Linked DNA regions of Rattus norvegicus. The protein of the gene in region 3 interacts with the protein of the main gene of each other region in a biochemical or structural test. Links are inferred from orthologs where the notes say so. Each region holds a gene or a part of one and is shown on either strand. Other genes may lie near its edges.

The links.
Region 1: the proteins of Wasl (region 3) and Pfn1 form a complex in vitro, tested with the Homo sapiens proteins (2 studies listed by BioGRID). The link is inferred for Rattus norvegicus from reciprocal best matches to the Homo sapiens genes WASL and PFN1.
Region 2: the proteins of Wasl (region 3) and Cdc42 form a complex in vitro, tested with the Homo sapiens proteins (3 studies listed by BioGRID). The link is inferred for Rattus norvegicus from reciprocal best matches to the Homo sapiens genes WASL and CDC42.

What each region holds. Positions count from the first base shown.
Region 1 is NC_086028.1:55,863,788-55,867,958, forward strand, and holds Pfn1 (profilin-1), read right to left. Parts: upstream 2,801-4,171; 5' UTR 2,684-2,800; coding exon 2,552-2,683; intron 1,185-2,551; coding exon 992-1,184; intron 471-991; coding exon 373-470; 3' UTR 95-372; downstream 1-94. UniProt on the Homo sapiens protein: Binds to actin and affects the structure of the cytoskeleton. At high concentrations, profilin prevents the polymerization of actin, whereas it enhances it at low concentrations. By binding to PIP2, it inhibits the formation of IP3 and DG.
Region 2 is NC_086023.1:154,873,712-154,877,754, forward strand, and holds the start of Cdc42 (cell division control protein 42 homolog), read right to left. Parts: upstream 2,801-4,043; 5' UTR 2,781-2,800; intron 2,775-2,780; exon of another isoform or gene 2,663-2,774; intron 1,987-2,662; exon of another isoform or gene 1,849-1,986; intron 1,111-1,848; exon of another isoform or gene 1-1,110. UniProt on the Homo sapiens protein: Plasma membrane-associated small GTPase which cycles between an active GTP-bound and an inactive GDP-bound state. In active state binds to a variety of effector proteins to regulate cellular responses. Involved in epithelial cell polarization processes.
Region 3 is NC_086022.1:54,056,071-54,059,570, forward strand, and holds part of Wasl (actin nucleation-promoting factor WASL), read right to left. Parts: coding exon 3,401-3,500; intron 1,780-3,400; coding exon of another isoform or gene 1,762-1,779; intron 1-1,761. UniProt on the Homo sapiens protein: Regulates actin polymerization by stimulating the actin-nucleating activity of the Arp2/3 complex. Involved in various processes, such as mitosis and cytokinesis, via its role in the regulation of actin polymerization.

The sequences.
Region 1 (4,171 bases), on a different chromosome or scaffold from region 3:
GGGCCTATGTCACATCAAGACGCAGATACATAATTGAGGTGGGTCACAGTGCCTGTCTCCAACTAATGCGAAGTGCAAACCACACAGGTCCTTGTTAGTAGAATCTTTTTTTATTCAGAAAAAAAAAAAAGAACAAAACAAAAAAAAAGTAAAACAAAAATGAAACCCAAAAACAATTTTTTCCCAAACACACACAGGAGGGGGTATGGGTAGGGGGAGGTATCTGTCCATCCAGCCCCAGCCCCCAGCCCATGTGGTTTTGGCAGCAATAAGGGAAATGGGGTAATGGCCCAAAAAATAATGGTGTGTGTGTGTATGGAAAGAAGGGGGTGCAAAAGCCAAAGGGAGCGGTGGGGGAAGGGACAGATGAGGTCAGTACTGGGAACGCCGCAGGTGAGAGGCCATTTCATAACATTTCTTGTTGATCAAACCACCGTGGACACCTTCTTTGCCCATCAGCAGGACTAGCGCTGGAGGAAAGAGAAAGGAAGCTAGGACCCAGGTGTCACAATTCAACCCAGCCAGCTGTTCAGCAGCTGTCCAGCCCCGGGGGTTGTAACCTAACCTCATTCCCTCCTCCCCTTATACACAGGCAGGCTGTCAGTCACCCTAAAACAATAGAGCTTTTCAAAGAAGAAAAAAAGCTTTAAGACTAGTAAAGAAAGAACAAAATTTAGAGGTCATAGGCTTACAGGTTGTAGACTGATGTGGCTAGGAACTGCTTCCTACCTCAGGTCTTTACAGAACTCAAGATTAGAGCCAAATGCTGACTTAAGATTCCAACAGTCTACTCCCAACAAACTAATCTCAAAAAGCTCAAAGCAAGAAGACACTTAAGAGGTAATGTAGTTTCTTTACACAATGGGGATATGGGGAGCCATCCAAGGTTCCCATATCCAGCAGAGTAAATACTGTTTTGCAGCTCTGACACACATAAAACCAAGTGACTAACAGGAAGTTAGGGATTTCAAAGCCAGCGAATCAAACTTACTCTTGGCAGTCATGGTGACAGTGACATTGAAGGTGGGGGCTCCCCCGGTGCTCTTGGTACGAAGATCCATTGTAAATTCCCCGTCTTGCAGCAGTGAGTCCCGGATCACAGAACATTTCTGGCCCCCAAGTGTCAGCCCATTCACGAAAAAACTTGACCGGTCTTTGCCTACCAGGACACCAACCTCAGCTGGCTAGAAGAATCAATCACCTCATTAAGTTAGTGCACCTGCATAACTTGTCCTCTTATGTACTGTGGAGTTGGAGGTGAAGGTGTTTCATACACACCATCAAAAGTTGGGGAAAACAGTACTGTGGGTAGTGTAGAGAACGACAATGATCCTAAACTCTATTAAATGAGTCCAAGGAAGGAAAAATATTCCTTTGAAGAATTAGATTTTCATGCTTAATAGAAAAAGCAAAGAAAGAAATGTTGGGTACCAAAAACGGATCAATGATCGAGGGGGGAGCCTTTGGATGCTCAGAACAGTCCTTCAGGAAAAGCAGAAGCGGAGAGGGGAAGGGAGGGGGTAGGAAGGGAGGAGAAGTAACTTTGTCCTTATTTGGTCAAAGGTTCTGCAGGCGTTGTTAGGAGCCGGGACTCCTGGGTCTCCCGGTGAGCTAGAGTTTAGGTCTAGGTATCTATGCCCCAAGATAAGGAAGCTGACCCCTGGGGGCTTTCTAATTAAGTTTAAAAAGTTTATAAGGGCAGGAGACTAGTCTTTTGAGTCTAGACATCCCAGAGAACCTTACTCCTTCTCCCCCTTAAACCCCAAACCCCATATCCGGTACCCTCCCGCCCGGAAATCCCCTTCCCCCCATTCGAACTTCCGCTCCCCCTCCCCACTTCCGGGCAGTGTGGTCAGGGAAGGTGGTGGCAGGGACAGCAGCAGCCTTATCCCTTCACTTTTACCGTCTCAGAACTTCTCGCAAAGTTCCCCTACTCCGAGCCCTGCCGGATGGCGGGAAGGGAGGGTGAGGGGACTTCCGGGATTGGCCTCACAGGAATGTTGAGGCTAACGTGCCGAATTGGGGGTGTGTGTGGTGGCGGCCTCGCCCTCTCTAACGGAGTTGGGAGGGGCAGGGTGCTACCGAGGTCCTGCAGGGCCCAAGGCCACGCGCCTGGCGCTCCCATCAGCATAAGGGGAAACAATGGTGGAGGGAGAGCGAGCAGTCGGCCCAAAGGGGAGTCCAAGCTCCCCAAGCCCCTTATCAATCATAATCCCAGGCTAAAATTGCAGCGCGTGCCTGCCCCGCCCTGGAGGAGGCGGAAGTGGGCCGCCGCACCGGGCGACGCGCCCCTCCCCGCCCTGTGCCCCGGATGTAACGCCCCGTCGCAGAAAGCGGGGCGGCGGGCGAGATGGGCGCCGCCGCCGATGGGCGTAGAGCTTGGGGGGCAACAGAGGGACCTAGTTTCATGCAGCCGCCATTCGCGCCGCTTCAGGAAGAGGACCGGATCACGGCCTCTCGCTGCCCTCGCTAGACTGCGCCCGCCCCCACCCAAGTCTCCCAGAGGGTCTAAGCCTGATCAATGCCCCGGACCGCACAAGCCTCGCAGTACCGTAATGCTAACGAAGGTCTTCCCGGGGACAGCGGCCCAGACGGAGGGCGAGTCCTTGTAGCCTACGATGGCCGCGTCCTGACAGGTCCCGTCCGCCATAAGGCTGTCGATGTAGGCGTTCCACCCGGCCATGGCGCTGCTGCTGGGGCTGCTCTGCGGGCTGCTGCTGGGATCGCGGGCTGGGCTCGGGCTGACGGGCGGGGGAAGGCAGAGAGCTCGGGGCACGCGCTGCCGTCCGGAACGCGGCTGTGTTAGCTGTGCAGCAGCCCTCGCACCGCCACTTCCTGCTCCTCCCCCCCCTCTAGATTTTTATTTGCAAAGGGCGGCGGGGCGGGGCCTGCTCCCCATTCCCTCCCTCCGTCCCCCCCTCTTGCCAGGCCAGATAGCGAACTTTTGCAAATGCAATTTTAAAAAGCCCTCCCCCCTTTTGCAAAATTTGCCGAGTTCGATGGAAAGCCACGCGAAAGGCTAGAGTGGTGGTGGCAAGAGAGAGGCTAAGGTTAGGGCTCGCTCCAATTCGTACGGGATACAAACCACTTTGCCGCAGAAGGAGGAAACCAGAGGAAGAAGGGGGAAAAGAGGAAAATTAGTAAAATTGAGCAAATTAAAGTGGGTTCCGGGAACCCAGGGTTAAACCGAATCATTCCTCCACCCCCCAACCCCCACCTCCGCGGGAGGGAAGGAACGGCGGGCGGCGGCGGCGCGTGCGCCCGCGCCTGCGCCGGGGCAGTGAGAAGACAGCGCGTGGGGCGGTTGGGGCTAGCGGCTTGGCTGCGCGAGCGCGCGCCTGGCAGAACAGATTTGGACCTTCGTAACCGGGAAGACGCGTCCCCAGCAGGCGGGACGGGCAGACGCCCTGGGTTTTGTGGGCTGCACCCTTCTCCACATTTTACTTAAACGATAAGGGAACAAAAGTGAAATTGACATAATACTCTAGTAATTTTCAGTACTAAAGGTCTCCAACAAGGGCACCTGTCCCAACCGTCTGCCGTGGACGCACTTGGGTTCATTCGAGCGCGTCCCTATATTCCAGAGGAATCATTCCCTTCGCTGGATCCGCTCCAGCTCAGAGCCTCGCCCCATGCCTGAACCCTGACTACAGAGGTCACTTGAATAGGGGCGCCAGCCGGGTGACAAGACGGGACTCATTTTTCAAGGCGGAAGAATACTAAAGTACCAAGAATGACAACTTTTATAAGAAGAGGAAAGTCCCCTCTACTTTGGACCCATTGGGGCTTTCTTCTTTTCCCGTAAAACTTTTGCTAAGTATTTGTGTGCGATCAGGTCACTTGCCGCCGTGCAGGTCTAGGGGGGAATGGCAGGCCAGTGAGGCTGGAGGGAGTGAAGGAATCACTCGGGACCCTAGCCTCCGAGGGGCTCGGCCGCTTCCGGTCCCTCGGAGGAGGGGCGCCGGGGTATGCAGCCTCTCCCAGTGGAGGGATTTGGTTCGCTGCCTCTCTGGAGCCGGGTTAGGCTCCCTGATGTTCATCTCAAAATTCTGGCTCCCCACGACCCCCCCCCCCAGCCCTAGTTCTTCGACAGCCGCGTGGCTGAGTCACGGGCGGGGCCGCGCTGGGGCACGTGGCGGTCTGCGCCCGCCATCCCTTGACCTCTGATCTG
Region 2 (4,043 bases), on a different chromosome or scaffold from region 3:
CACCAAAAAAAATTTAGCAGTAAAAATAACTAGAAATGTTTCATAGATCTTAAGATGAAGAGTGGGGCAGCATAAATTAGACTCAGTGGGTCATAAAAAAGAGTAAGACTTGGGAGGTGGACATGCTGAGGGGCAGAGGAGGGAAATAGGGATGAGTATGGTCAAAATATAAAATATTTTGCATAGATGTGTGAAAATCTGAAATAAAACAATCTGTAAAACATTTCAAGTGCAAAAATATTCCTAAGAAAACAAATCTTTTGTAAAGATTTGTAAACTTTGTAAACTTGGGGATTTAGTCTTGATGGGCTTACATGGATTACTGGTGCAGGGAATGTGTTTACTAAGCACAGGTACTGTCTCAATATGAAAATATCTTGAATTTAAACAAGTGTTTAACAGAATAGAAGGCAATTTTGGGTCTTGAACAAATTACTGTTTAAAAAATACTCCTTTCAAATACTCAGTTACCAATCTCTTATGTCCTTGCCTTGTCTAAAACTTACAAATTCAAACTAATTGTGTTTTTAATTTTTATTATTATTGTGTGCATTTATGTGTACACATGCATGTGGCAAGAGTGTGAAGATCAGAAGACAGATTTTGTTTTTGTTTTTTCAAGACAGGCTGTGTAGACGAGTCTGGCCTCACACTCAGAGAGTTTGCCTCTGCCTCCTGAGCAGATTCTCTCCTTCCACCTTGGGTTCTGGGGGACCCAACTAAGGCAGTCGGGCCTGTCTGACAAGTGTTATTATCCACTGTACCATCTCACCAGCCCAGACTAGTTCAATAAAAAAAGGGGAAAAAAAATACAAATTGGTACACATGTAAACTTTTTAAATATAGGCTTTAAAAAACACAATAGTAGATAAGTACTCTCCAATTTTATATTCCTAGATGTCACATGAAGCATAACAAATTATTTGGGACGATTCAAGCTCCACACCTACAAACTACAGAAAGCCTATTTGAATCCACCACGCCAGTGTTTAACAAACAATACTGTTTTCTATACAAACGAGCAATAATGGGAAAAGTCTTGTTCAAATACGAGCCACCCTTACAGGGATGTGCTACACACTGGATCTCATTTGTTTTGCAATGTTGAAGAATACTTCAACACTAGTGTATACTATAATCAAAGGACACACAATTCTAGTGATCTAAAAGTATTACTCAAGTTTTTAGGGTTAAAAATTAAAATCAAGGGGCTGGGGATTTAGCTCAGTGGTAGAGCGCTTACCTAGGAAGTGCAAGGCCCTGGGTTCAGTCCCCAGCTCCGAAAAAAAGAACCAAAAAAAAAAAAAAAAAAAATTAAAAACAAGGGTAGCAATTTAAGTAGCTCATGCCTGTAATCCCAGCTCTTGAGAGGCAGAGACTAGAGGGAAGGTCCCTCTAAATTCAAGGTTAACCACCACTACCTATGGAGACCCTGTCTCAAGATAAAAAATCCAAAAGCCATTCTTCATGGTAAAACTAAAGCATGCAACTTTGAAGCTGCAATCCTAACAAAGACAAATCAGGTGTATAACTAAATTCTCTTTTCAGCTCACTCTTCAAACCATGCACTGAATTTGGGTTCTTTACATCAGCTAAGTCACAACTAGTGTGGCAAAGAACTGCTCCTTAAAATTCACCCGAGTACAGCCAAGGGGCCCTTTGAAGTTCATACCTACACAAGTGACTGCAGACAGTGTGTATTCCCTGACCAAAAATACCCTAAACCTAAGATTTTGAACCTTCCGTATTTCAGGTGCATCTCAGGCAGTCTGGAGACAGACAACAGGATTTCAACAAAAAACAAAAAACAAAAAACAAAAACAAAAACAAAAAAAAAAGCCACCTTACACCTTACTCTGAACTGATGTGCTGGGTGGAGTGACCCACTAAGGCCACAAGATGCTGTCTTAATTTGGTGAGCCCTGACTTGTAGGAGTTAAAACTTTCACCCCTTATGCTGCGATGACGTAATCTTCCACACTGAATATCTCCCGGAGTTAAAGGGGTGGAAAGAGGAATTTAAAAATATATAATAATAATAGTAGCAGTCAACAAAGAAATTTTCCTGCTAGTAATGAGGAACTGAGTAAGTGGCCAGGCGGGGTTTCGGGAGGTACTTAGGCAGGTCCCGGAAGGCAAAGAGGCTGGCCCCGTCAGGAGAGCCCCCGGAGCCGCGGGGCAGGAGAGGACGCGGCGCGGGACAGGAGATCGCCGAGGGGCGCAGGCGCAGAGCCGCCCGGTCCGTCACCTCGGCCCCGGCCCGGCCCTGCGGCCGCAGTTCCGCTCCCCTCCCCCGCCAGCCGCAACGCGTCCGCGGCGGAGCCCGGGAAGCAGGAAGTCGAGGCCCACAGCGCAGAGACAGCCCCCGGCCTCCGACCCCGGTCCTGACCATACGTCCCCCCACCCCGCGCCCCGGGGCCTCTAGAGCCCGCGGGCAGCCGGAGGGGGAGGGGAACGTGTGGGATGGGTGTGCCCGGTCCTCTCGCCGCCGCTGACAGCTCGGCCGGGCTGTGCCCTCAGCCGCCGCCATCCCGGGCCGCGCCTCGCCGCCATTCCGGCCCCAAACCTGGCCGCGACCCCGCCTCGTTCCCCTCAGAACCCGGGCCGGCGGGCGCACGCGAACCCGGCAATCCCTCCCTCGCGGCCCGCCGCCCGCAAGCACCGGGATGTCCCCGCCCGCGAGCGTCCACGAGAACCGAGGGAGGACGGGGGACATGGGAAGGGGACCGGGCGGCGCAGAAGACGCTCCCGCAGGGAGGCTACTCGGGCCCCGCACTCACCTCAGCTTCTCCGCCGGGGCGTTGGCAGCACTGCGCGGGGCCTCCTCGGCTGCCGGACAGGGGCACGCGCCTGACGTCAGCACGCAGGGGACGCATGGTTGGGTGCCCGCGGAAGTGGGAGGGACAAAGAGAAAGAAGGGGCTCAGGCGGCCCGGGCTCCGCCCCTTGGCGCGCACGCGCGGGCTACGTTCTTTGCGTGTTCGGGTTTGCTCTCTGCGCCTTTTAACGGTGATTTTATTCGTAATAAAACTATGAACAGAAAATGTGCACAGTTTGTAACTAAAGTTTACTTCTATTCTTGCAACTTTGTAGAGAAAATGTTGTAAATATATTTGTTGTAAACAAATATTTTTGTTTATTTTATTTAGACAGGGTGTCATTATGTAGCCTTTACTGCCCTAGAAATGGCTATGTAGACCAGGTTGTCCCAGAACACACAGCGATCCTACTACCTCTGCTCCCTGAGTTCTGATAATCCCAAGAAATGTACCACAACGCTCAAGCTGTCTCTTTTTCTTTTTGTTTTGTTTTTCGAGCCCAGGCTAGCCTGGAACTCAGAGATCCCCTTGCGTCTGCTTCGTGAGTGCTAGGATTAAAGGTGTGCATCACCATACCCAGACTATCTTTATTGAGCAACTTGAGACAGGGTCTCATTTAGCCCAGCTGGCTTTGAACACAACTGGGTAACAGGTTGATCTTGAACTGCCGATCCTCTTTTTTTTTTTTTTTTTTTTGGTTCTTTTTTTCCGGAGCTGGGGACCGAACCCAGGGCCTTGCGCTTCCTAGGTAAGCGCTCTACCACTGAGCTAAATCCCCAGCCCCGAACTGCCGATCCTCTTGCCTCTACCTCCGAAGTACTGAGATTGCAGGCACGCACCTCCACGCCTTGCCTCTTTTGCTTCTCTGAGAAGTGACTTGCTGTGCACAGCTTTCTGAAGGCCACAGGCCTCTGAACAATCTGTTTTGAAGTGAGAGCTGGACATCACTCTGGGTTTTGTTTAGAACTACAGACTTTCCCCTCAAAAAGCCCTGCGTTTACTCTGCCTGAGTGCTCTCCCCTGACCCCTTTGGTGGGATCTAAACCTCTCGAATCCTTTTTCCTATCATCTCAGCGCCTGTTTAATGGCTGTCTTCTCTGGTGGTGTACAAGCTTCAAGCTTCTGGAGAATAGAGATCCTATCCTACTTGTTAGATGCCTCCCAACATTAGAGGAAACCTCATCGGAAGAATGTTCATTTGAGGACTGGAGATGGAGCCCAGTCC
Region 3 (3,500 bases):
ATGCCAGTTACCCAAGCAGCAGCCACCAGTGTGAGGATCTTTTAAATGTTCACAAATACCAGAAGGAGAATGAGAACTGGTATTTTTAAAATTAAAAGAAAGAAAATTAACAAAGAGGAAGACATGAATGTTACAAAAAAGTATGCTTCTAATCTACACACACACACAAAATATATAATATACAATACATACATAAATATAAATAAATATCCTTGATTAATCTACAGAACACTCAATCTTATAGGAAGGGAAAAATACCTTTGTGTTCATGGCACATAAAAAGATGACATATTTGAAAATTATTATTTCAGACCAACATCAGTATTATTAAGAATACCAGTAGGTAATTATATTTCTTATGTAATAATTCTTATGTAATTTCTTATTTAATATTACAAGGTCATATAGTATTAAAGAATTCATAATACTTTTAGGAACCAATGCCAAGTTATCTCATAAAAATATAACAGAAAAATGTTATCTAGTATAAATTTATGGGAATATTGTCAAGTGCTTAAATGAATATATGATATTGTTCTCACTAATATTGCTCCACCCTTGTAGATAATTTTAATCCAGTAACATGGTTGCTCTGGCAAGGGATCATATCCGAAGACTTTATAGGTCTATATGATCCAGCGAGAATGCAGACATACCCTTAGTACACATTTTTAATTCCTAACAATGAAAGTAAGGCTAGGTTATAGAAGGAAGCAGTAATGTTTGAAAGTGTTGTCTAATTGAGGGGCAGACAAAGTGACAAATCAAAGAAGAAAATATGACAGATGAGTCAGAGATAGCATATGCCCACTCTCCCAACTCTCACGTGAACAGCACAGGGAAGAGAATCTACTTAAGAGAGCCTCTCATGAAAGAGGGAGCGAGGAGTAGGGAGGAAGAGGAGAGAAAGAGGGAGCGAGGGGGAGGGAGAGAGGAGGAGCACAGAGCAGTTAGTGGGTAGCAGTTTTACAGACAATTACAAAGAGAGCAAACTAGACACAGGAGAAGACACAACAAGCCAGAGAATGTAAAAGAGCCGGAAGAGTGGAATACACTGCCAAAGTAAGGAGGCGGCTAAGCAGAGCAATTCTGCAGGAAGCCAGTTTGAATCAGTCAGCTCGGAGGAGACTGGGCCAGCTCAGCTGAGTTTAAACAGCCAGCCAGCCAGAGTTCAGAAAAAACTAGAAAGGGTGAGCTTAGCAGCAAGCCTCTGAGATGACAATTCCATGTGGTGAATAAGAATTCTTTTGCACATCTTCCTTTTTCTAGGCAATATAGACATATCTTATACAGGTTACTGAAAAGCAAATGTGTAATCAATTGTAAAATAGTATAGTGTCAATAAAACATGAGTGCTGTGAGCAAGAGCTGTTTACTAGTAGAGAACTTCAATAAATAATCTACATTATATAAGATTATAGAAGATATTTATACTTCTAGAAATGTTTCTTTTTATTACACATGAATCTTTATGTACTGGGCGATGGAGACATGAACCTTTAATTCCAGTACACTGGAGGCAGAATAGGCAGATTTCTATGAGTTCAAGGCTAACCTCTTCTACAGAGGGAGTTGCAGGACAGTCAGGGGTATACGGTGACAGTGAAAACCAAAAACAAAAAAACTACATACAAAAACACCTTTATGATCAAAACATTAGTTTTGAGGGCAGCACATGTAAACGCTAGCTACTCAAAAAACCAACACAGCAAATCATGCAAAATTCAGAGTAGTGGTCCAAATACTGTTCCACATACATACCGCTCCACTGTGGTGGACCTGAAGAACAGATTGTTATAAGTTAATGGACTTAATACGTAAGAGCTACACATGGGGATATGATGGAAATCACAAATTTGCTTGTCTTTATAAATCTGATTTCATGATTCTATAAAATAAATGATAAAAGATTTACTAAGTAGGTTAAAACAAATTTTATTAACATCTCCATTCTGTTTTTCATATCTTTGAATACTAATTTATAAATGTGCTCACTCTAAAAAATAAATTATTAATTTATCTCTCTATAAAAAAAAATTTCCCTGGGATGGAGAGACAGTTCACTGACTAAGAGTGCGTGAACTGCTTCAGAGGATCTCAGCTCAATTCTTTTTATTTTTTTATTTATTTATTTTATTTTACTTTATTTTTTGGAGCTGAGGACTAAACCCAGGGCCTGAGCTAAATCCCCAACCCCTCAGCTCAATTCTTAACCCATGTTGGACAGCTTACTACTGGCCGATGAAACTCTGGTTCTCACCCACACCAGTTAGTACGATCTACTTTTCTTTAGGTACAAAAACCGTAAGACAGCGATGTAGATGGTCCAATAATGCTGAGTGTGACTACATGCTAACAGGCGATTAACCCTGGGCACCATGGGTGCAGCAGAGAGATCTGTCTGTCTGCCTATCTAGTCCTTAAGATCTATCGTCCTTTACCTGGATATAAGTCATGACTGTACAGCTTGGAAAACGACTAAATGTAACCACAGATGTTTTAAATCTACACCACTTGAAGGGTGACTTGCCTGCTAGTCAGATAGATCAGCCCAATCCAAGTATCTACTGAACTGGCTGTGGTTATACAGCAGCAATATGACCTGGAAGTTGTTTGCTCTCAGAGTTGGCCCTAAAGATTCTAAACCTTACTGACTACAAAAGGGAAGATCACGTTCATTAAAATGAGGGCCAGCAGTTAAAAAGCAGACAAAGGTAATTAAATACCCACTTTCAAATGACAGTCAGATGCAAGGACACTGAACTGGAGCATTAGCTCAGCTCCCTAGTGTCAGTACAAAGAGGAGACACTTGGTTCCAAATGCAGATGGTGTGTCGTGCTGACTGTGACAGCAAAGGCTACCTATTGTCCTTGCATCTGGCTGTCCTAATATTGGGAGCACCCAAAACACAAAGTTCTTTAAACTACTCAACATCCAGGTGTAAACTGTGGTCTCTGGAGCCAAGAGATTTTATTATACCCTAGCCAAAACAAAGCAAAATTTTATATTTCAAATTACAAAGATTTTACATAATTTATATTCTGAAAATGTGTTATAGAGATTACATGGTGACTTTTAGGCTAATAATCACTCATGTTTTTGTTTGTTGGAAGACAAGTCTCTCTATGCAGTTATCTATGTAGACCAGGTGGGCCTCTAAGACAGGAATTTGCCTGCTCTACCTCCCAGGTGCTGGGTAAAGGTCATCTTCCCATGTCTAGCTCAAGGCTTCTGTTATACCAAAATAATGAAAGATACAGTGACGCTGAGCTGAATTTGTCATACACAAATTCAAAGACTTTGCTCAAGGAGGGGTGCTTAGTTTTTCACCATAAAGATAATCTTAGAAAATTTAAAAGAAACAGAAAAAAAAAAAAGTCAAAATAAATCAAAAGTTACCTTGCCTTCGGAGTTCATTTTTAACAGCTTCTACACCTCCTGTTTTTTCAATAAAGTCATAAATAACTTTTGATGTTTCTCTGTCTTTAAGCTGGGCCTC